Macaca mulatta: one gene and its partners. The protein of the gene in region 5 purifies or fractionates together with the protein of the main gene of each other region. This does not show direct contact. Links are inferred from orthologs where the notes say so. Each region holds a gene or a part of one and is shown on either strand. Other genes may lie near its edges.

What was found.
Region 1: the proteins of DCP1A (region 5) and UPF1 purify together in Homo sapiens (co-immunoprecipitation; 4 studies listed by BioGRID and IntAct, with this or other methods). This does not show direct contact. The link is inferred for Macaca mulatta from reciprocal best matches to the Homo sapiens genes DCP1A and UPF1.
Region 2: the proteins of DCP1A (region 5) and PNRC1 purify together in Homo sapiens (affinity purification with mass spectrometry; 3 studies listed by BioGRID and IntAct, with this or other methods). This does not show direct contact. The link is inferred for Macaca mulatta from reciprocal best matches to the Homo sapiens genes DCP1A and PNRC1.
Region 3: the proteins of DCP1A (region 5) and BAG4 purify together in Homo sapiens (affinity purification with mass spectrometry; 4 studies listed by BioGRID and IntAct, counting the BioPlex papers as one, with this or other methods). This does not show direct contact. The link is inferred for Macaca mulatta from reciprocal best matches to the Homo sapiens genes DCP1A and BAG4.
Region 4: the proteins of DCP1A (region 5) and DDX6 purify together in Homo sapiens (affinity purification with mass spectrometry; 8 studies listed by BioGRID and IntAct, counting the BioPlex papers as one, with this or other methods). This does not show direct contact. The link is inferred for Macaca mulatta from reciprocal best matches to the Homo sapiens genes DCP1A and DDX6.
Region 6: the proteins of DCP1A (region 5) and EDC4 purify together in Homo sapiens (co-immunoprecipitation; 9 studies listed by BioGRID and IntAct, with this or other methods). This does not show direct contact. The link is inferred for Macaca mulatta from reciprocal best matches to the Homo sapiens genes DCP1A and EDC4.

The regions. Positions count from the first base shown.
Region 1 is NC_133424.1:19,389,249-19,393,478, reverse strand, and holds the start of UPF1 (regulator of nonsense transcripts 1), read right to left. Parts: upstream 2,801-4,230; 5' UTR 2,519-2,800; coding exon 2,288-2,518; intron 1-2,287. UniProt on the Homo sapiens protein: RNA-dependent helicase required for nonsense-mediated decay (NMD) of aberrant mRNAs containing premature stop codons and modulates the expression level of normal mRNAs.
Region 2 is NC_133409.1:96,904,720-96,908,752, forward strand, and holds the start of PNRC1 (proline-rich nuclear receptor coactivator 1), read right to left. Parts: upstream 2,801-4,033; 5' UTR 2,758-2,800; coding exon 2,215-2,757; intron 1-2,214. UniProt on the Homo sapiens protein: Nuclear receptor coactivator. May play a role in signal transduction.
Region 3 is NC_133413.1:40,115,730-40,119,923, forward strand, and holds the start of BAG4 (BAG family molecular chaperone regulator 4), read left to right. Parts: upstream 1-1,394; coding exon 1,395-1,664; intron 1,665-4,194. Other genes in the region: U6 snRNA-associated Sm-like protein LSm1, read right to left, coding at 1,222-1,396. UniProt on the Homo sapiens protein: Inhibits the chaperone activity of HSP70/HSC70 by promoting substrate release. Prevents constitutive TNFRSF1A signaling. Negative regulator of PRKN translocation to damaged mitochondria.
Region 4 is NC_133419.1:119,470,672-119,474,751, forward strand, and holds the start of DDX6 (putative ATP-dependent RNA helicase DDX6), read right to left. Parts: upstream 2,801-4,080; 5' UTR 2,734-2,800; intron 2,579-2,733; exon of another isoform or gene 2,491-2,578; intron 1-2,490.
Region 5 is NC_133407.1:116,872,377-116,875,876, reverse strand, and holds part of DCP1A (mRNA-decapping enzyme 1A), read left to right. Parts: intron 1-1,214; coding exon 1,215-1,433; intron 1,434-1,831; coding exon 1,832-1,912; 3' UTR 1,913-3,500. UniProt on the Homo sapiens protein: Necessary for the degradation of mRNAs, both in normal mRNA turnover and in nonsense-mediated mRNA decay. Removes the 7-methyl guanine cap structure from mRNA molecules, yielding a 5'-phosphorylated mRNA fragment and 7m-GDP.
Region 6 is NC_133425.1:63,458,635-63,461,377, forward strand, and holds the end of EDC4 (enhancer of mRNA-decapping protein 4), read left to right. Parts: intron 1-178; coding exon 179-344; intron 345-428; coding exon 429-615; intron 616-707; coding exon 708-927; exon of another isoform or gene 928-960; intron 961-1,253; exon of another isoform or gene 1,254-1,312; coding exon 1,313-1,476; intron 1,477-1,698; coding exon 1,699-1,891; 3' UTR 1,892-2,243; downstream 2,244-2,743. Other genes in the region: NRN1L (neuritin-like protein), read left to right, coding at 2,653-2,743. UniProt on the Homo sapiens protein: In the process of mRNA degradation, seems to play a role in mRNA decapping. Component of a complex containing DCP2 and DCP1A which functions in decapping of ARE-containing mRNAs. Promotes complex formation between DCP1A and DCP2.

The DNA of each region.
Region 1 (4,230 bases), on a different chromosome or scaffold from region 5:
TGATAACTTTCTTCCGCTTTCCCTTGAATTATATACATAGACTTCCTTGCCCCCAAACTCCGGTCTTCCCCTTGTGATGCAAAGGGATGCCACTCCCATTCCCCACTAACAAATCCAAATTACAGGTAACAGGTGGGTGGGGCATCTGGGTCAATTAAAAGTAGCACAGGACAAACCATCTGATGTCATCAGAACTCTAGTGAGCTCAACTGCAATGTTTACCTCCAGGGGAGCGTTTTAATGCTCTCCTTTTGTACAGCCCAGTGTGTTCAGGTGCACGGAAAAAAATCAATTGTTTCAACTGAAAGAGAAGGACATGCGCCACACTTAATCCCAAACGGAATGCCAGAAACAAAAGTAGAACTAAAGGCTGCCCCAGGTTTGCTGTTTTATGCTGGCCACAGTTAAAAGGATTCACAAGAAAATGATTACCTTTGACACCAGCCAACCCCTCTATCCGCGCTGTCACGCTCATGGCTCACTGCTCCACAGAGATCTTTACCCTGAGTCTCCCCGACAGGCTGGACGTCAGATTACAGACAGCCTATACAGTCGACTCACACATGGATCTAGGTTTCCTTTATGTTTAAAAGGAACAAAAATCCAACTGCCACCCCCATTTCACAGCTGCGGAAGCAGAAAGGTCTACAGGGCATAAAAACTACAAGGAGGCGGGGCCTCCGCAGGTCCTGCTCCCTTCTTCAAGGGACCTCTCCTCTCTCCCTCCCCACCTTCACAAAATGTAAACAAAACTGAAAAAACCACCCATACGTGCACACCTGTTCTCCTCACACCCAACTTTCTATTTTAAGGAATATGGGGTTAGAATGAGTCAAATGTTTCTTGCTTCCATTAGGGGCTAAAAGGAAGCCCAAGTGGGTGGTCTACCCACGGGAATGACTCAGCCGACTACCAAGTAAGCCCCCCTCATGCAAGGACAGGGTCTGAGCTCACTCAGGATGAGCAAGGAGTGGTTCTCCCAGCTTTGAAACACCAGCACATGCCAAGGGACACCTGTGCCAAGGTGAGCCTCGGAGTTACTCCCTGTCAGGAAAATAAACCTGAGCGAGGGGTCAGGCACAAAGCAACCCTAAAGTGAAAGCAACCTGAGATCCAGAGGATGATGAGGACATGCCCCTGGAGCCCGGTGCAACCCGCGCCCCCCCAGCCCCTCTCCCACCCCAGGCAGGCAGCACCCAGGACCAGGAAATGCATGCCTGATACTTCTCCCAACCCAAGCCCCCATTTAAACACCTAAGTAACCTTCTCTAAACATCCACATCATTAAAAATGAGTTTCCAACGTGGCAGACGCATTTATGTAAACCCATTACTGCTGTCTTATTGGAGGAACAAAACTCAAACCCAACTTTTCCAAGGCAAGAGTTGTGGAGTTATGTAACAGGTCGGTTTCAGCAACAGGCGATGCAAGAAAAAATAAAATACAAACTGCTTCCTGAATGATCTTAATAGCCAGCCAATGTGTGCTCCTCTATGGGAGGCAAAAATTCTTCCCTGCCTCAATCTTCCGCTGACCAGCGCCCTTATGCTTGGGAAAATTCGAACCTACGGCTCCGTGACTGTGGAAGGGGGGATGCCCAGATGGCTGTGACCACAGATGGGAGGTGGGACAGTGCGGCCGGACCCCCCACTGGGGAGACGGGGCAGAATCCCCGGACCAGGCCAGAGACAGGGTTAGGGCAGGTCACCCTGGATACTCCCGGAAGGGGACTGAGGGAAGTCACTCAAGATCCGGCCTGAGCAAGACCCGGCCCAGGCCGTAGGGGAACTCGGGGCAGAAAACCGAGACCTGAGAAAGAGGGACCAGGGCAGGTCACCCTAGCCCGGATGGAGTGGAAGAACTCAGACCAGGGCAGGTTACTCCAGGCCAGGCTGGTTGTGGGACACAAGGCAGGTCAGCCCGGGCCCAGGCGGAGGAGCAAACCCAGCCGGAGTAAAGGAAGAGGGTCAGGTTAGCTCGGACCCGAACGGAGTGGAGGACTCGAGGCAAGTCGGCCCAGCCCAGGAGTTGGGGGCCGAAGGAACTCAGCCAGGTCCAGGCCGGAGCGGGAGACCCGGGGCAGATCAGGCCAGGCCCGGGCAGAGTGCAGGACCTGGGGCAGGTAAGCTCAGGCCCAGCCGGAGTAGGGGACCCGGGGCAGGTCGCCCCAGGCCCGGCCGCGACGGGGGACTCCGGGCAAACCCAGGCCCGGCCCGAGACGGGCTAGGGACAGGTCTCAGGCGCCGAGACAAGGCCCGGGCTTCCGGCGCCGCCATGTGCCGCTCACCTGCGCGTCGAGCTGTCCCGCCGCGGCGCCCGCGCCCGCGCCGCCTGGGCCTCCCGCGCCGCCACCGCCCGGGCCGCCGGGGCCGCCGGGGGGCGTCTGCGTCTGGCTAGGAAGAGTAAAGTCGGTGAACTCGAACTCGGAGCCCTGTGTATCGGCGCCGAGCAGCTCGGCCTCCTCCGTGTCCAGGAAAGTGAGAGTCTGAGAGCTGGGCCCGTACGCCTCCACGCTCATGGTGCTGCCGGGTAGGGCCCTCGGGCCGGCTCCGCGCCGCACTCGAGCCCGCCGCCGCGCTGAGGCCTAGGCCGCAGGCCTCGGCTCGCTGCCGCTGTCGTCCCCGTACGCCTGGAAAGGACCGAACCGCCCTCCCCGGCGCCAGCCGAACCGAGATGTAAGAGCGCCGAGCCGCCGCCGCTGCCGCCGAGCCCCTCCGCGCCTCAGTTCCCCTCGAAGCCGCCCGCCGCTCGCAGCCCCGGGCAGGAACTGCCGCCACCGCCGCCGTCGCCGTGCGCGTGCGCGAGCCCGACGCCGGCGGAAGCGCGCGCGCTCTTCGCGGACGCCGGGTGCCCAGCGGGACGACGGGACGCTCAACGCGCACGCGCAGGGGGTGAGGCTTTCAACCGCCGTCGCGGCTGCCCCTCGAGGACTTGGTCCCGCCCCAACTGCTAATCGGGGACTCCCGGGCGGCGGGTGGTGTGGACCTGGTGGTCTGCACCTGTGGTCGCTGCGACAGTGTTTCGGTTTAATTAAGCGCTAGCCGAATAGCCTACGTAGGTGATCTCGAAATGCCCAACTGGAGAGGCTGGGCAGGGACGACGCGCTCCCACTCCTGGCAAAAGCTGCTTGGAACTCAGTTTCCCCATCTGTAAAATGGGGGGTGCCTCGCACATAGTAGATGCTCCCTGTGCATTGGTTTAATAAGGGGGTGGGGCTCGGCGCGGTGGTCACACCTGTAATCCCAAACACTCGGAGGCTGAGGCGGGAGAACGGCTTGAACTCAGGAGTTCGAGACCAGCCTGGGAAACAGAGTGAGACTCCATCTCTACAAAAAATACAAAACTTAGGCCGGGCGCGGTGGCTCACGCCTGTAATCCCAGCACTTTGGGAGGCCGAGGCGGGCGGATCGCGAGGTCAGGAACTCGAGACCATCCTGGCTAACACGGTGAATCCCCGTCTCGACTAAAAATACAAAAAATTAGCCAGGCGTGGTGGCACGAGCCTGTAGTCCCAGCTACTTGGGAGGTTGAGGCAGGAGAATCGCTTGAACCTAGGAGGCGGAGCTTGCAGTGAGCCAAGATTGTGCCACTGCACTCCAGCCTGGGCGACAGAGTGAGACTCCGTCTCAAAAAATAAAAAAAAAAATTAGCTAAAAAAAATTAGCTAAGTGTGGTGGTTCTCACCACTGCACTCCAGGCTGGGTGACAGAGCGAGACCCTGTCTCAAAAATAAGTAAAAATAAATGAATGGGGATAGTCTTAGGTACTGGGCCTGACACTTGGAAATGATGGTTGCTGCTGTTCCTGATGCCTCTGCCGCTGTCATTATACAATTACTATTTTTGCTATGATTATTATTTAGTGGACATATACAGCAAAACAACAGGAAGCACATGGTGTGTGGTGGAATCTAGAGCTAACCACTTATCAGCTGTGTGAAATTATACAAGTGAGGTAGGCCAGGCGCGGTTTCTCAAGCCTGTAATCCCAGCACTTTGGGAGGCCGAGGCGGGCGGATCACCAAGTCAGGAGACTGAGAGCATCCTGGCTAACACGGTGAAACCCGGTCTCTACTAAAAATACAAAAAATTAGCTGGGCTGGTGGCGGGTGCCTGTATTCCCAGCTACTGGGGAGGCTGAGGCAGGAGAATGGCATGAACTCGGGAGATGGAGCTTTCAGTGAGCCGAGATCGCACCACTACACTCCAGACTGGGCAACAGAGCGAGACC
Region 2 (4,033 bases), on a different chromosome or scaffold from region 5:
TGTTGTGTTTAAGTTTGCCCACAGCCATAGAAAAGAACAAAATTATGTTCTTCGTAGCAATACATATGTAGTTGGGGGCCATTACCCTAAACGAATTAATGCAGAAACAGAAAAACAAATATCACAAGTTCTCACTCGTAAGTGAATTTGGGAGCTAAACATTGGGTACAACATGGATATAAAATGGGGAACAACAACAGACACTAGGCACTACTAGAAGGGGAGGGGACCTATTGGGTACTATGCTCACTACCTGGAATGGGATCATTCATACTCCAAACCTCAGCATTACGAAATATACCCATGTAACAAACCTGCTCAAGTACCTCCTGGATAAATAAAATAAGAGCTGCAATTACAAAAACTTTAATTGGGCAGGGTGGCTCACGCCTGTAATCCCAGCACTTTGGGAGGTCAAGGCAAGTGGATCGCTTGAGCTCACGGAGTTCGAGACCAGCCTGGGCAACATAGCAAAACCCCATGTCTACTACAAATATAAAAATAAGCCCGGCGTGGTAGCACGTGCCTTGGGAGGCTGGCTGAGGCGGGATCCCTTGAGCCTGGGATGGGGAGGCTGCAGTGAGCAGAGATCCATCGTGCCACTCCATTCCAGCCTGGAGTGCGATAGAGACAGACCCTGTCTCAAGAAAAAAAACAAAAAAAACTTGACTTTTCCCTTGACTTTTAAGTTCACTCTTGTTTGCCACTAAAAATGCAGTTAATCACCACTGCTAGTTACCAGTATGCAACGTGAACCAGTTCTAAAATGTCAAACAAAAAAAATCTGAAATAACCCAAGCCGACCTTTCTACAACTTTAAGTTAGACTAATGAGCTCTCTTCCAAATATCAGTGCCAGAAACAATGTTTGCTGTGTACCCCCCACTTCCTGGTTTAGTAACTGTTTCAAGAACGCTGCTTCACTGATCTTAATCTTTCCTAACTTAGGTGGGCCTTATAGGAGTCTTGACCAGATGGAAAATCATAACGTAATCCACTAGATCACTGCACTACCAACGCTTGTAACACGGTAGTAAGCACGACACGACACGAAAGTAGAGCACAACTTTCCACGTCTGTAGGTTCACTGCCAGAGCTCCCTGGTTAGTAGCTGTTCTAGAAAACAGGCCAGGAAACAAGCACAAAAGCTTTTAGGTAATCACGGATATTTCAAAAGTCGTGTAATTTTAAAAGGTGGGAGACATTGAGAAGATAGGTTAAACACGGTGGGCAAATTTAGTAATTTTTTCCCAAGGGCACAGACAAACTGCAAATCTCTAATTCAATGCAACATTCTTCACTAAATAGCGGGAACTTTTTCATTTCATTATTTCGAAAAGAGTCACTGAACTTAAGTCCATCAAACGTTATTTTGACAAGACTTTGAAATCATTTCGTAGACTTAATCCCATTTAAACTTCTATCCATTTTATTCTAATCCAATAGCACTGCAATCAGCAGTCGCTAACTCTTCTGAAAACTTCTTCTGGACACACTAACACGAAGTACACAGTGGCAACGGTAATAAAATCAGTTTTGTGCGGCTCCTGCCAACTCCGAACTTAGAAGAAACCATTAAGTAGGTCAAGCCCGCGGCGGGCAGAGCCCCAGCTGGACTGCGCGTCCCACACGGGGCACCTCATATTTCGGCACAACTCCAAACGAAACCGAGCTGCTCAGAGCCCACTCCACCCCCCACGGCGGGACGTCAGAATCCGTCTCCGCGTTTCACCGATTAGGACTGGGGCTCTCGACAGCCGGGAGGCCGATAGCGGGGCCCCGTCCTTCCCTGGCCGCCCACACCCGGCCTCGCCTCCTTCATGGGCGCCGTAGCGCCGGGCACGTAGCGCGCGCTGACGTCAGCCCTCCCGGGGGCCCCGTCCCTGCCCCCACACCGCCGCGCGCCCGGAACGCCGAAACCCCCTGGAACGCCGCCAGCCTTCTAAATCGGGGCTGTTGCTGGGGCGCAGCGGCGCTTCTCATTGGCCGACTCCTGGGAGCCAATCAGAAGCACCAGCGCATGCCTCCCCTTCCCCCTTCTTCCCCCAAAGCAAGAATGGAGAGGGCGTCACGGAAACTTCCCTCCCGAGTAAACAGCCGCCCCCCCACCCCGCCCCCACCCGTCCGACCCCCCCGGTGCAGGACCTGCAGCCCCAGAGCTCAGCCGCGACCGTCTAAGGGCCCGACTCCCCAAAGGCCCGCTGGCAGCCCTTACTTCTTTCCTGAGCGGGGTTTGGCCGGGAGCCGCGGGCCGCAACGGGGCAAGGTCGGGGCTGGCTCCCTCCGTGCGGGTTGCGGCTGCAGGACTCGGGGCCAAGGCGGCGGCCGGGCCCGGAACCTCCTGCGCTGCTCCGCTCGGGCCGGTCGCCGGGCTCCGGCCGCCCTCCAGACTCGGCCGGTGCTGCTGGTACTGGTGGAAGCGGCTGGGCAGCTGCCCTGCGGGGCTGGCCCGCACCTTCTTCTTTCGCCGCTTCTTCGGCGCTGCCCGAGGGGTGCCTCCCGCCACGGCGAGGCTGCGGTTGGGCAGAGCTGCTGGAGCGCGAGGCTGCGGAGTCAGACACGGGCCATCTCCCCCTAAGAAGTGAGGGAGGAAGAGGGTCGGGGGCAGTGCCCGGGGGTCCGGGATCCGGGGTAAAGGAGGCGGAGCCGTGGTCACCATCGGGAGGGCCCCGAAGTAACCGCGGGAGGAAAAGCCAAGCGGCGCAAGGCGGCCACCCAGGACGAGCGGCTCCCGCTGCGGGACGGAGACGACGGTCATAGCGCTAGGAAGCTTGTCGCTCAGCAACGAGGAGAGAAGGAGGTGAAGCCAGTGAAAATAGGGTGACGGCGATGGATGCTGCTAGGAGAGCCAGAGAAGATCGCGGAACATGACTCGGGCGGTGGCGGCGCAGCAACAAATAGCCACAGCCCCAGCTCCGAGTGTTGTTATCGGAAGCTCCGCCCCGCGCCCGCCCACTTCCCTGCGAAAGCCCAATCAGAGTGCGACAAGGCAGGCCACGCCCCCTCGCTCCGCCTCCGCCGCTTTGGGTAGACACACACAAACAACCAGCTTGCTGCAGCCTGGCACAAAGAGCGCGCACTGCGCAGGCGCTGCCAGGGAGCTCTTTCGGGAAGAGTCGGTCCCGGGAACAATGAAATTGGGTTTCCGCCCCACCCTCCTTACCCTCCCCAGCACGCCCCCGCGCTTCGCCCGGCTAGGGAGTGGTGGGATTGAAAGGTCCCGGCGGAGTTTGTTGATGGGGGTGGGGAAGGGAGGGGGCAGGGGGAGGGCGGCAGGAAGAACGGGGGCGGAGAAGAGGGGGACGACTCTGGCAAGGCCACGGTTGCCGCCTCCGCTGCTGACCTTGGGGAAGTATCCGTTTTATTTTCAGCCCAACATAACAGCGTTATCATTTTAAAATAAAGATTTCTAAGTACGCCGTAAGGATTTCTTCCCTAGCAATCGTGGAGAAAATCAGTCTACATTTAAATTATATCTACTGAAGTGTGGCTCACGATTCTTTCGTTTACTTGGTTCGGCATCGCTGCTTATTAGTCCCGGTGATCAGAGTAAAAATCAAAGCGACTTACTGATTGAATTAGTCCCTCAATGTATAAAAAGTTCTGCGTAAATCCATAAATGGAAGCTGGAGTTTTTACTGACTTCATAGTTGAAGGATTGTGAGACTTTGGGATCGCAACATTGTGCCTGGTTACTTGAGGAGGCGGCAATCCGGCTTGCATCTCAAAGGGAGAAAGTGAAACAGTTCTGCAATATACAGAGTATTTTGTTAGCTGCGTGTAGATAGAAATTTCTCATGATCTCCCCGCACTGCTCAACCACAGAAAAGAATTGTGGCCATAATTTATCAAGCATTTATGTTCCAGGAACTGTTATTTACATAAATTGTCTCACTTTAACCTCACAACAACTCTTATGAATAGGTACTAAGAAAAATAGATCAGACCTCAGCTCTGCGAAGTAGGCAGGCTGTCATTCTATTCATTTCACTACTAATGCCTGGGGCAATTGTTTAAAGGCATTTTGTTCCTGT
Region 3 (4,194 bases), on a different chromosome or scaffold from region 5:
GAAACAGTAAGTTAATGAGAAAGATCACGTGATTAAAACAATAAAAAATGTTGCTTGAGGAATAATACACAGATAGAATTTAGAAAAAATGAAAGCCCGGACAACTGCAGGCGGTTCTTTCCGCTTTTGTATAGGACTGAGCTCCTCTTCCGGACAAAAACTAGGAATAAAGGAGGTCTTCTTAGTAAAAGCAAAAATGAATTGTCTTAAAAAAAAAAAAAGGTTGCAAGTGATTTTCCAGAAAAGTCAATACCATGTCTAACAGTGGTCTCTACTACAATAACCTGAAGGTGCTAATGACCCTCACAGTAAAATAAGCTAGCAAATAGCCACACCGTAGAGCGCCTACGTTTACTGCCAATCAAGTCCAACTGCTGCTGTCTTAATATTTTTGCTTTTTAATGAATCCTTTCTCTAGGTATTCCGATCCATCCACCGGTAACACGCTGATACTTCGAAATACTGCAGGCAGGAGGGGACGGGGGAGAAGCCCCCCCCCGGGCTTCTTTCGTGTTCGGGCCTCTGCTGCCGCGACCCACGAAAGTACGAATGAGTTCCATCGCTTGGGGCTCACCAGCCAGAGGGCTGGCGGAGGCTGCGAGGGGCAGAACAAGTAGCAGGCTACTGGGTGGGCAAGCGGTGTGTACCGCAGCTGTGGAGGACATCGACGCGGAACGCCCGGATTGAGCTCAGAACACACCGGCCCCGCCCGGGACTCATTCTACAAGCTTCTTCGGAAGAGGCGCCCGCCCGGGAGGGTCTCACCCCAGGCTCCACCGGGAGGAGATGAACTACTCACTGTCAATGTCCTCGATGAGGCTGGCGGTGCCGGGCATATAGTTCATTTTGAACTGAAATAACGCTGCAATGCACAGCGGCGGGGGGCCAGCGCGTCCAAAACCTCCTCCCTCCTACCGCAGTCGCCGCCTCGGCGGGACCGAGCCCGGAATCCCGACCGAGACCAGCACTTCTGCCCCGGCTTTCAGCCGCCGGGGCCTGCCGGAAGCTCCTCCATATTACCCCCACCCACTTCCTGTAACACGTGCGGGCCCCCAGGAAGAGGAGGGGCAGCCGTACGGTTGGGGGACACCCTTTCCCTGTTCCTGTTAAGTAGGGAAGAGGCATCTCCATTGGATAGATGGCGAAGAAACGTATACTCCCTCTTAAGGAACACGGTGTCTTCCCTCGTCCCCGGGTTCCCGAGACCCCAGAGTCACGGACCTCCGTCCCTCAGCTCTCGGGGCTCGGCAGCAGAAGGGGCGGGACCGGGCCTGGGATTGGCTGGCGTCGTCCGACCCCCTTCGCTGCTCTCCATTCGCAATCGCCCGCGGGCGCCTGCGCGAAGGGTCGGCCGTGGGGCGGGGGGCGGGAAGCGCTTCAGGGCAGGAGAGCCCATGTCGGCCCTGAGGCGCTCGGGCTACGGCCCCAGTGACGGTCCGCACTACGGCCGCTACTACGGGCCTGGGGGTGGAGATGTGCCGGTGCACCCACCTCCACCCTTATATCCTCTTCGCCCCGAACCTCCCCAGCCTCCCATTTCCTGGCGGGTGCGCGGGGGCGGCCCAGCGGAGACCACCTGGCTGGGAGAAGGCGGAGGAGGCGATGGCTACTATTCCTCTGGAGGCGCCTGGCCAGAGCCTGGTCGAGCCGGAGGAAGCCACCAGGTAAGCTTTGCACCCTCTGTCCTTGCGGGGAGGTGAGGGCCCTTGGGGCTGGGATTCGTAAAGGATCGGGTTTCATATTTGTTTTCCTTATGTGGAGGAGGGTCGGGGAGGGGGGATGTTGGAGAGACCGAGACTGGGATCAGAGGTTGGGGGATATGCTTGTGTTCCCTTTGCCCCTCCTTTTCTGCGTCGACCGCAAAAAATACGTTTATTACCATTTAAAAAAGAAAGATCCTGCGCGGGCTTACTAAGCTTGGCAGCAGGCTGCAGATCTCTCTGCTGGGAGCAATGCTGGGTAGGGGTGGCACGGATCTGCTGCTCCAGCTCTAGCAGTTTATCCTGCGTGACTGGCAGTCCGGCTCTCCCCGGGAAGGGAAGTGACTGCAGCCCCCGATGTCGCTCAGTGACCCTCCCGAGGGGAAGGAACCTTTGCGAGGGGGAGGTTCTGGGCATTTAGCGTTTGCCCCTAATGCCTTGCCTGAGATCGAATCGTGAATAATCAGTGTTGTAAAGCACCTTTACGCGGATTGACTGATTTAATTTTCACGGCGACTGCAAGGTAAAGTGGCATTACAGCAGCCCCCGCCCCCCGCCCGCTTTTTTTATTTTTTCGAATAAGGAACCGGGGCTCTACGAGGTTAACTCACTTGCCTAATACGCTTGGACCTGTAACATTTTATTCTGTTTTCCCGCCGGACATACACTTCTGCTTTCTTAATGCAGTCTTCTGGGTAGTGGGTTGCCGTTCTACGGTGGCGGCACACCTCTCTATTCGTTCAAGAATTACCCTCATTTGTTGAAAATGTAATAGTGAAATTCCCGTACATTGCTGGTGGGGATGTAAAATGGTGGAAAATAGTTTGGTAGTTCCTCAAAACATTAAGCATTAGAATTAGTATAACACCCAGGAAGCCCACTCTTGGCTATATACCCAAGAAAACTGAAAACATATGTTCACATAAAGCTTGTCCACCCTTGTTTCTAGCATCATTATTCATAATCGCCAAAAAGTGGAAATGTTATTTATTTATTTTTTGTTAGATGGAGTCTTGCTCTGTTGCCCAGGCTGGAGTGCAGTGGCACCATCTCGGCTCAGTGCAACCTCCGCCTCCCGTGTTTAAGCGATTCTCCCGCCTTAGCCTCCTGAGTAGCTAGGATTACAGGCGCCCGCCACTGCGCCCGCCACCGCGCCCGCCACCACGCCCGTATAATCTTTGTATTTTTAGCAGAGAGGGGTTTCGCCATGTTGGCCAGGATGGTCTTGAACTCCTGACTTCAGGTGATCCCCCTTTCCCCCGTTCCTCGGCCTCCCGAAGTGTTGGGATTACAGGCATGAGCCACTGCGCTCGGCCCCAAATGTCATTTTATTTGGGTTATAATAAAAGAGTGAACCTCTCACAGCCCTGGTTCTTTATTCGAATACAGGAATGTTGTAAGGACATAACGACTGATGCATCAATAAACAAAATATGGTGTTAATATATTCATACAATGGAATATTTGGCCATAGAAAGGAATGAACTACTGATACGTGTTACAATATGAATGAACCTTGAAAACATCACACTACGTGAGCAAAGTCAGTCAGAAAGACTGCATATTGTGTCATTCCATTTATATAAAATGGCCAGAGTAGGTAAATCTAGAGACAGAAAGCTTAATGGTTGCCAGAGGTTGGGGGACTGGCGGTGTAGGTGAGAATATGCTTTTTGGGATGATGAAATGTTCTAAAATCAGGGCCTGGTGAGATGGCTCTCACCTGTAATCAATCCCAGCACTTTGGGTGGCCGAGGCCAGAGGATTGCTTGAGTTCAGGAGTTTGAGACCAGCCTGGGCAACATAGTGAGACCTTGTCTCTAAAAAAAAAATAAAAAATAGAAAACAAAAAATAAGAAATCTTCTAAAATCAATGATGATGGTTGCACAACTCTGAATATACTAAAAACTACTGAATTGTACATTTTAAAAGGGTAGAGTTTATAGCATGTTGATTATATCACAGTTTAAACAATTGTATGAGAAATACATGTAGCAGTGAGAAATTATTTTTTATTTTTGAGGCGGAGTGTTGCTTTGTTGCCCAGGCTGGAGTGCAGTGACACAGTCTCAGCTCACTGCAACCTCCGCCTCCCGGGGTCAAAGTCTCCTGCTTCAGCCTTCCTAGTAGCTGGGATTACAGGCACCCGCCACCACGCCCAGCTAAATTTTGTATTTTAAGTAGAGATGGGGTGTTGCCGTGTGGGCCAGGTTGGTCTTGAACTCCTGATCTCAGGGTATCCTCCCACCTTGGCCTTCAAAAGTCCTGGGATTACACATGTGAGCCACAGTGCCCAGACAAGATTGATTATAAATTAAAGATCTGGCTGGGCACGGTGACATGCCTGTAATCCCAGCACTTTGGGAGGCCATGGAGGGCGGATCACCTGAGGTCAGGAGTTCGAGCCCAGCCTGGCCCACATGGCAAAACCCCGTCTCTACTAAAAATACAAAAATTAGCCGGGCATGGTGGCGGGCGCCTGTAATTCCAGCT
Region 4 (4,080 bases), on a different chromosome or scaffold from region 5:
TTACTTTTATTTTTCATTTTATTTTTTGAGACAGAGTTTTGCACTGTCGCCCGGGCTGGAGTGCAATGGCACGCTCTTAGCTCACTGCGACCTCCACCTCCCGGGTTCAAGTGATTCTCCTGCCTCAGCCTCCTGAGTAGCTGGGGATTACAGGCATGCGCTACCATGCCCAGCTAATTTTTGTATTTTTAGTAAAGACGTAGTTTGGACATGTTGGCCAGGCTGGTCTTGAACAACTGACCTCAGGTGATCCGCCCACCTCGGCCTCCCAAAGTGCTGGGATTAGAGGCGTGAGCCACCCCCCCAGCCACTCTTATTTATTATTATTACTTTTGAGACATGTTGCCCAGGGTGGAGTGCAGTGGCCCGATCTCAGCTGACTGCAACCTCCACCTCGTGGGTTCAAGCGATCCTCATGCCTTAGCTTCCCAAGTAGCTGGGTGGGATTACAGTCCGGCTAACTTTTGTATTTTTCAGTAGAGACGGGGTGTTATCAAGTTGGCCAGGCTGGTCTCAAGACTCCTGACCTCAAATATCTGCCCGCTTTAGCCTTCCAAAGTGCTAGGATTACAGGCGAGAGCCACCGTGCCCGGCTGAAATCTTAATTGTAGTTAATAAAAACATACAAAGACCCGAAAACAAAGCCCTACTCTGTTGGCTTTTGATTTAACCCCGTTACATGGCTTTTTTGTTTTTGTTTTTGAGGCGGAGTCTCGCTCTGTCACGCAGGTTGGAGTGCAGTGGCACTATCTCGGCTCACTGCAACCGCCGCCTACTGCGTTCAAGCGATTCTCCTGTCTCAGCTTCCAGAGTAGCTGGGATTACAGGCGCCCGCCACCACGCGCAGCTAAATTTTTTGTATATTTAGGAGAGACGGGGTTTTGCCATGTTGGCCAGGCTAGTATCGAACTCCTGACCTCAGCTGATCCGCCTGCCTTGGTTGGCCTCCAAGGTGCTGGGATTACATGCGTGAGCCACCGCACCCAGCAACCCCGTCACATTTCTTACATAAAATACACAGCTTACGAGTGCTGATTCTTTCTGCCATACACCAAGGCATGTGAAACTCAAAATTTTAAAGTCAACAGATCTCAAAATTTATGAGAAAATGCTCCTTGATTATGCCTTCCTTAAAAAAAAAAAAAAAAAGAACAAGTTGCTCACAAGCAAATCCTGATTATCACATACACAAAGTTGTTTACTTTAAAGTCCTTCTGACATCTTAAGCAGATATGGTTAACAGCTACTTTCCTGTATTGACGGGTTTATATTATGATCAGCGACATCACGCAGTTCACACAGAGACTTAGCTGTTTGCAGAGCACTAAGAGGATGAAAAGGGCAACCTCTAAAGACCGAACGATATCATCATTACTGTCCATCATGCACAGTAAGACCTATATCCTTAAATCCAAAATGAGACTATGTGATAACTGCTCCCTTAAACTGAAACCTGCACTGCAGCTTTGTCTCAGAGAAGGAAATATTCCTCCTATTCCTTCCCAATTTATATTTTCAAGTTATCTTTCTCCATTTTCAAAACAAAACAAAACACAAAAAAACGAGAAACAGACTAGAAACGTAGACTAGTTGGGAGGAGCCCCTAGCGGAGTTAATTACAGCACTTCTCAGATCATAGTTAGCAATTGACAGTTTCACACCCAAAACAGTATCGTCATCGCCAACAAGAGCTTTTGTTTGCAAATGCAGCGCAGTTTTTCTAAGCTTTGCCTGCAAGTTGGAGTGACTGGGTTTTATTCTGAAGGGAAAGGGGGGCTGTGGAAGGGAAAAGAAAGAGATAAGGGAAAGAGACAAGTCAATGACTGGAGCCCCACAATTGTAGGGAAATTTCTTGCCCTCCCCCCTGCTGCCCCTCGCCCCAAACACACACACGTCAAGTCAGCTCCCTCTGACCATAAACACAAAAGGTTGGGCTCTGCAATCCTATCTGCGCAATATGAACCGGCAACCAGCTCCATCAGTAGCAAACAATAGGGACTCCCCCAAGAAGGCCCCAAAGGGACCCCCCAACCCAGAAATCCCCCTCCTTTCCTCCAAGAGTCTGGGGCTCCATATACACCCTCTTGTTATTGACCTGCAAGGCCTACCGCAATCAAGCAGCGGTCAGTTCGCTTCTAAACCGAGCCTTCCAATACAGCATGTCCCTGCCGCCCCCTATAGGGCCGCCTCGTACCCTATAACCTCCACCATCATCCCCCTAAGTCCTTGCCGCCCCCTTCGGCCTCATATTCCCTCATCTTCGATAAAGCTCCTCCGAGTACTTAGCCTGCTCCTCCTGCCGACCCTGCCGCGCACCACATTCCTATATTCGCCTCCTCTCAGGCGCCCCCACCCCACACAGCTGCCGCCCGCCTTCCTCCCCAGGCCCGGCCAGGCCTTAGGCCTCCGCCCAAGAGAGTCCCCCAGAGCCGGCCCGGGAGACTCCCCGCAGCCCCCACAGCGCCGCTGACCTCGACCCCACCACCTCACCCCAGGCCTCGCGGCTCGGGCCCGTGTCCTACCAAGGAGGCCACTCCCGCTCGGCACCCTCGGTCCTTTATTGTTGACTCGAAGCTCCCAAAATGGCGGCCGCTCCTTCCTCCTCGGAAACCTCCGCCCGCCCCCACTCGGCCCCCTCGCTACGGCCTCCTCCCGCCCCCGCCCCCACCCGGCTCCGAGGGGCGCGCAGCCCAGCCGCCCGCGCCGCCGGCTCCCCCGGCCGTCCAGCCCTACCTCCTCCGCTGCCCGCTCTCGTGGCGCCGCCGAAGTCGCCGCCGGGCTGAGCTAACTCGGCTCCTCTGTCCCCTCCCTCGCTCGCCCGTTCGCCTGCCCGCCGCCTCCTCCCTCTTTCCCTGCCTCTCCGCATGGCGGCGACCGCGGCTCCTCCTCCACTCAAGATGGCGAAACCTCGGCCGCCGCGGCTACATCCGCCGCGGCGTCACTGCCTTCCCGGCCTGGTGGTGAGAGGAAGCCGGGCCGCAAAAGCCTCCTGAGGAGAAAATGGAGGGCCCTTCTCTCACACCGACGAGAAAAGTTCGAGGGGGAAATATGAGTTCCTTTCTGAAGGGACAGGACGGCTGCTTTTCCACAGCTGCGAAGTGATTGGGGAATGGTGGCTGGCAAGGGTAGCCCTGCCTTCGCCCCTCCAAAGTAAAAATAGGGAGTTGAGACCAGAGGAGCATCTCTTTATTACATGTCTAAGGCTATGTTTTGAAAACTGGCCCCCGGGCAGCTGCTTGGGGACAGGAAGCTGACCTGACTTCTCGTGCTAGCCGGGGAGGCTGATGCCGGGCGTAAGGGGCCGCGTCCATCCAGGAAGGCGCGGGACTAGCGGCCCGGAGACGCGGGGCACGCGTCTGAGTGTGGGGGCCGGAAGGGGGGCCGACCGGGCCTGGAGGCCGCGACAGGCAGGAGGGAGGACTCCAGGGAGCGCGCGGGGGGCGCTTCGCGGAGGGGCAGGGCGGGCCAGTAGGGCGCGCCTGGCTAGGGGAAGGCTCCGGGCTTGAAAGTGCGCCTGGGGGGCTGGTTGGGGGTGGGGGCAGGCACCGGGCTTGAGGGTGTGCCTGGGCGGGGGAAGGCTCCAGGCAAGAGGGCGCGCCTGCGGGTTGTATGGGGGGGTACACCGAGCTTGAGGGTGCGCCCCAGGGGCTCTCATGTGAAGTGTACTAGGCTTGAGGGCGCCCCTGTGGGGCCGGGTGGGGCAAAGGCACCGAGCTTGAGGGTGCGCCTCGGGGGGCCGCGGGGGGAAGGCACCGGGCTTGAGCGTGCGCCGGGAGAGGACGGCGGGGGACCGGACTGTGAGGGCGTATCTTGGGGGACCTGTTGGGGAGGAACCGGGAGGTGAAGGCACAGCTGGGGATGAGGTGGGGGCAGGGGCCGGGCTGTGAGAGTGCGACTGAGGGGGATTACTCCGGAACGCATGGAGCAGGGGTAGCTCACCGGAGTGGTGGGGGGAGAAGCTGGACTGTAAAGTGAGGAGTTGATAGGGCGCAACCCTCTTCTCCTGCCGTCGAAGGGCAAGACTCAAGAACTCAAGAAAGTGGGAGCGGAGGAGGCCGGGCCCTCCCCCAAAGGGAGGGA
Region 5 (3,500 bases):
GTAGAGACGGGGTTTCACCATGTTGGCCAGGCTGGTCTTGAACTCCTGACCTCAAGTGATCCTCCCAGATAGGCCTCCCAAAGTGCTAGGATTACAGGCATGAGCCACCGCTCCCAGTCATAACTGGATTTTTAAATTCTTTTTTATTGCAGTATGATTTACATACACTGAAATGCAGATTTTTAGAGTCCAGGCATGGTGGTTCACACCTGTAATCCCAGCACTTTGGGAGGCCTAGGTGGAAGGATCACTTAAGCCCAGGAGTTCAAGACCAGCCTGGACAACATAGTGAGACCTCATCTCTTACAAAAAAATCAAAAATGAGGGGAGGATTGCTTGAGCCCAGGAAATTGAAGCTGCAGTGAGTGGTGACTGCACCACTGCACTCCCACCTGGGTGACAGAGTGAGACCCTGCCTTAAAAAAAAAAAAAAAAAAATGCAGATTTTTTTTTTTCTTTTTTTTCTTTTTCTTTTTTTGGAGACAGAGTCTTGCTCTGTCACCCAGGCTGGAGTGCAATGGGTACAGTCTTGGCTCACTGCAACCTCCACCTCCTGGGTTCAAGCGATTCTCATGCCTCAGCCTCCCGAGTAGCTGGGATTACAGGCGTGCACCACCACGCCCGGCTAATTTTTGTATTTTTAGTACAGATGGGGTTTCACCATGTTGCCCAGGCTGGTCTCGAACCCCACCTCGGCCTCCCAAAGTGCTGGGATTACAGGCATGAGCCACTGCGCCCAGCCAAACAACACAGATTTTTAAATGAGTTTTTGACACATGTATGTATTATCCCTTAGGCAACCCAATCAATATGTAACATTCTGTCACTCCAGAAAGTTCCCTCATGTCCTCTTCCAGTCATTTCCCCAACTCCCCTCCCAAAAAGCCTTTACATTTTGAATTTATCATAGGATTTTTCTTACTGTGCATTCTATACCGTTATTTCTCTTACCTTCTGTGGCAGTTGGACTTGGCTTCCCGTAACGATTCTAGGACGTTCTTATATAAATGGGCTCGTCATCCCTTAGCTCACGGAAGTTTATAACCATATGCTAGATGTTCAAATGCTCCTACTGAATGTTTACCTGAACCCGAAACAGTCTGTCTCTGGGCTTCACTCTTCTGCTGCTTGTGCCTGTTTCCACATGCTCCTTATTCTGGGCCTGGCTACTGGCTTCTGCACTTTGGTACAAAATGACCATTGTTCCTCTCCAGGTTGCAGGCGCCCCACTGGTTACTGCAACGACTACTGCAGTGTCTTCAGTCCTGCTGGCCCCAAGTGTTTTCCAGCAGACAGTTACAAGGTCTTCAGATCTTGAGAGGAAAGCCAGCTCTCCTTCTCCTCTAACTATTGGAACGCCAGAAAGTCAGAGAAAGCCTTCCATTATTCTCAGCAAGTCTCAGCTCCAGGATACGTTAATACATCTCATAAAGGTATGTAGGATACCAATTTTATCTTTGATTTTTCATTACTTAATAAAAGAAATTGTATACATTCCTCCTACAGAATCAGTTCATAAAGTAAATTCAAAAGACTAGCTGGAGGCCGGGCAAAGTGGCTCACACCTGTAATCCCAGCACTTTGGGAGACTGGGGTGGGCAAAAAAAAAAAAACAGACTGGGAGTACTGTTTCTCTTTTTTCAAGCATACCGTCCTGGTGGAGAAATATCTGCGCGAACTCAATATATTAATCATGATTGTCTCTGGATGGTGGGATTATCAGTTATACAAATCATTTATACAATTTTTTTTCCTAAGCTGTTACCAAGGAAGTAAAATCTGTTGAGGTAAATGTGGCATTCGTATCCTTAACCTTTCCCATCTCTTCTAGAATGATTCCAGCTTCCTCAGTACACTTCATGAAGTCTACTTGCAGGTGCTGACCAAGAACAAAGACAACCACAACCTATGACTGGAGCAGAGTAAGTCTAAAGGCCGAGTGCTAACCTCAGAGACAAATAGGCTTCATCATGGAAACTTCTGAGCAGAACATCGAGTTTGAGAATCCTGAAATTGAGCCTATGAGAAAGAGACTCATTTCTTAAGAATGTTTTCCAAGTGACATTCTCAGTGATAATGGAGGTTTCACTGTGAAGCATCACCAGCAGACCTTTGTTTTGACAAAAAACAAAATCATTGTGTTAAGTTATGTGGGTGTTTTCATCAGCTAGGAGCAAGGCTGTGGAATAAGGAATCTGATTCTCAGCTCGCTTTCACTTTCAAGGACTTACAGAGGAGTAGTCACCAGCCTCACAGCAGAAGTTCAGCCTGGCCCCCACCGCTTGCCCCAGCCTACCCCATAGAAACAGGCTTTGGGCTGACAGTCAAGTTCTAAACAGAGTAGAAGGCAACTCTGCAAAGTAGCTTCGAGCTTTTAGGACCAGAATTTAAGCCGGCAAATTGGGAATGATTTCCTCAAGTGAAATGTATTTTATATGAATGCCCCATTTGGGCCTTAAAAGTTGTGAAATTTCTTAATAGTGTTTTGTTTTTAAGTGCCCCAGTCCTGCCCCGCAGCAGGCCCCCAGTGCAGCATTACCGTTTGAATAGGGCACTGTCAGGCTCTGGTGGTGTGGACACAGGCACGTCACACCTTTGAAGGAAGGCTGAAACTGGGAATGCCCACATCCTATCAGATCTTCATTTTAGGTTGAACTCTCCAATGGTTCTGAAAATGCTAAGTTTGTGTGTGAAGCACAGCCTTATTTTCCTTTTCTGTCATTGTTGATTGTTTTCCTTAACACTTTGACAAAAGGACCTGTGGACCAATCTGACAAAGCCATCCTGGTTCCTTTCCTTGAGTGTACTGAGAATAGTTTTAAAGCTATGCAGAAAAGGGAGCTGTTATTCACACTGCCCTTATTTTGTTGTAGAATTATGGAGTTAAAAGAAAATGTGATTCCAAACTCTACCAATGTATTCCTAGGCTGTGAGTACTTTCCCAGCCCAAAGTGTGAAAATATGTAAAGAAGCTTTGTTATGCTGCTATTGATCTGCCATGATTTCTATTTATTCTTTTATAGCATGTAATGGTGTTTAGTAATATTTTAATGTAGATTTTGATTTATTTCAGCAATAGTAATTTTAAGATATTCTTTGAATGAAAGTGTCTTTGTTTCTATGATACAGGTCATTTTGTAGTATTTAACCAATTAAGATGCACTGCTTACTTTTTATGAGCACTATTTAATGATGGGGTAAAAACCCAATTGGCTCAACCAGCTAGCATAAGGATTAGCTGTGAATAATGCTGACAGATATGATGGTTCCTTGGGAACAATCATTTAAGCTTTAATGGTAACTCAATCATAAGTCCATAGATTATTTTTTTCTAGCTGAAATTCTAGAAAATTACTTGTGAATTACATACTTGTTTTAGTTTGGTCTTAGTTTTTAGCATAAAGAATGATTGGCTTTTGTTGATCTAAACATGCTTCCTGGACAGGGTTTCTGCTTCTCATTTTAGTGTCTTCTATTGCTGTCTACCTAATTATGTGTGA
Region 6 (2,743 bases), on a different chromosome or scaffold from region 5:
CCAGCTAATTTTTGTATTTTTAGTGGAGACAGGATTTCACCATGTTGGCCAGGGTGATCTCGATCTCCTGATCTCATGATCCGCCCGCCTCGGCCTCCCAAAGTGCTAGGATTACAGGTGTGAGCCACTGCGCCCAGCAGGCTCAGGTTTTCAACTTGGCCCCCTCTTCTAACCCCAGAACTTGACTGATGCCATCGCCCGAGCAGCTGCAGACACATTACAGGGGCCGATGCAGGCAGCCTACCGGGAAGCCTTCCAGAGTGTGGTGCTGCCGGCCTTTGAGAAGAGCTGCCAGGCCATGTTCCAGCAAATCAATGATAGCTTCCGACTGGGGACACAGGAATGTGAGTGGGGTCATATGGCCCAAGGTGGGAGCGGTTATCCTCTTTCCTTCTGTTCCTCTTATAGTCCCTGTGGTCACCCCTCAGACTTGCAGCAGCTAGAAAGCCACATGAAGAGCCGGAAGGCACGGGAACAGGAGGCCAGGGAGCCTGTGCTGGCCCAGCTGCGGGGCCTGGTCAGCACACTGCAGAGTGCCACTGAGCAGATGGCAGCCACCGTGGCCAGCAGTGTTCGGGCTGAGGTGCAGCACCAGCTGCATGTGGCTGTAGGCAGGTGTGTGGGCAGAGTACTGGGCAAGGTGGTGGGCTTGAGAAAGGCCAGATTGGGCTCCCTGTTCACTTCACCTCACTCACTTCCCTTTGCAGCCTTCAGGAGTCCATTTTAGCACAGGTACAGCGCATCGTTAAGGGTGAGGTGAGTGTGGCGCTCAAGGAGCAGCAGGCCGCCGTCACCTCCAGCATCATGCAGGCCATGCGCTCAGCTGCTGGCACACCTGTCCCCTCTGCCCACCTTGACTGCCAGGCCCAGCAAGCCCATATCCTGCAGCTGCTGCAGCAGGGCCACCTCAATCAGGCCTTCCAGCAGGTATGATAGGTGTTAGGCCCTGGTAAGGGTCACGTGTCTCTTGACAAGGCCCACACACCATACATTCCACCCACCAGCTTTGCACCTTCTGGTCCCAGCAGACTGTTCTTGGTTCCCTTTGGCCTCGAGGCCATTGTCCCTGCTGCTTCCTCTTCCTGGACCCCCTTCTTCCCACCTAGCCCACCTTGCTTTACAACTACCCTTCTCAGGAACCATTTCCCAATCCCCTAGGGTAACTATACAACTCTGCGGGGCTCTCTCTGAGTCCCTCTGGAGCCCTCACTAGCGCACCCCGTTGTCTTCCTCCCTCAGGCCACACAGTTCAGATAAACAGACATTCCATCCTGATATTTGCTATAAACACTGCTCTTTTTTTCTCCTCCAGGCACTGACAGCTGCTGACCTGAACCTGGTGCTGTATGTGTGTGAAACTGTAGACCCAGCCCAGGTTTTTGGGCAGCCACCCTGCCCACTCTCTCAGCCTGTGCTCCTTTCCCTCATCCAGCAGCTGGCATCTGACCTTGGCACTCGAACTGACCTCAAGCTCAGGTAAGTGGGGGCAGCCAGGAATGGGGAGATGAACTGGGGAGTGGGGGAGTAGGAGCGAGCAGTTTGAATCTGACACCCACTTCTGCCTGAATCCTCTCCCTAATTTTCTCCACCAATCCTCTCTGCCCTCACCCAGAGGGTTTCCTCTGGGCTTCAGTGCCACCAGGGGGCGCTCCCATCTGCTGGTGCCCACCTGTAGCCTGTCCTTTCCCCCATCCCCAGCTACCTGGAAGAGGCCGTGATGCATCTGGACCACAGTGACCCTATCACTCGGGACCACATGGGCTCCGTTATGGCCCAGGTGCGCCAAAAGCTTTTTCAGTTCCTGCAGGCTGAGCCACACAACTCACTTGGCAAAGCAGCCCGGCGTCTCAGCCTCATGCTGCATGGTCTTGTGACCCCCAGCCTCCCTTAGCTGCTAAGCCTGCCTTGCCCAGGGGTGGGATGGCACTGAAGGCCATCAGACAGGCCTAGGCCGAGGCAGGGTCACGGCTGGCCTTTACCTGCTCAGGCCCCCATCTCTGGGGTGTTTGGGGGTCAGGGAGCAGGGAGCACTGGCCGTGGTCTACAGGGTGTGGTAGTCAGAAGGTTTAGGCTGGGCCCAGGGCAGGTATTGTGCCTGCTTGGGTTCTGCCATGCCTGGAGCATGACCCTGAGATCGTGACACCACTTGAGTGGAATTTTCCATGTTCCTTTTTACCTCTAATTTGGATCTTTTTGTTTTTGAAAAATGTTGAGAAATTCAATTAAATGCTTTTGGAATAAAATGGAGTATGTGTGTGCTTTTGGCTTGTCTTTGGTGTGACTCTCATAACTGCCCTCTGTTCCTTCCCTGCCCCTCTCTTCCCTGTGGAGCTCTGTCTAGGCCAACCCAGCCAAGGGGCGGGGTTACCCACTCATCTGCTCCAACTGCCTTCCCAGATCTCCCTTCTCCCTCCTTTTATGGGGTGAGGGTCCAGGGGCCTGCTCAGCACCAGCCTGTGCTCCTGGGAATTTCTGCTCTCTGAGGTCCCTTCTCGCTCCTTTTCCCATTTGGGTGTTGGAGGTGGAGCCGCCGGCTGGGTTCGGAGCCCCACCCCCGGCTTCCATCCAATCACCGTCCCTCCCTCCGGGGGCTGGGCGGACGGGCTGCGCTCCAAGCTGCTAGCTCTGGCACTAGGCTCTCAGCCAGGGACGATGCGCCGCTGCCACTGCCGCTGCCGCTGCTGCTGGCAACCACCCCGTGCCCTGAGGCCGTTGCTGTTGCTGCCCCTCGGTGAGTGCGGGC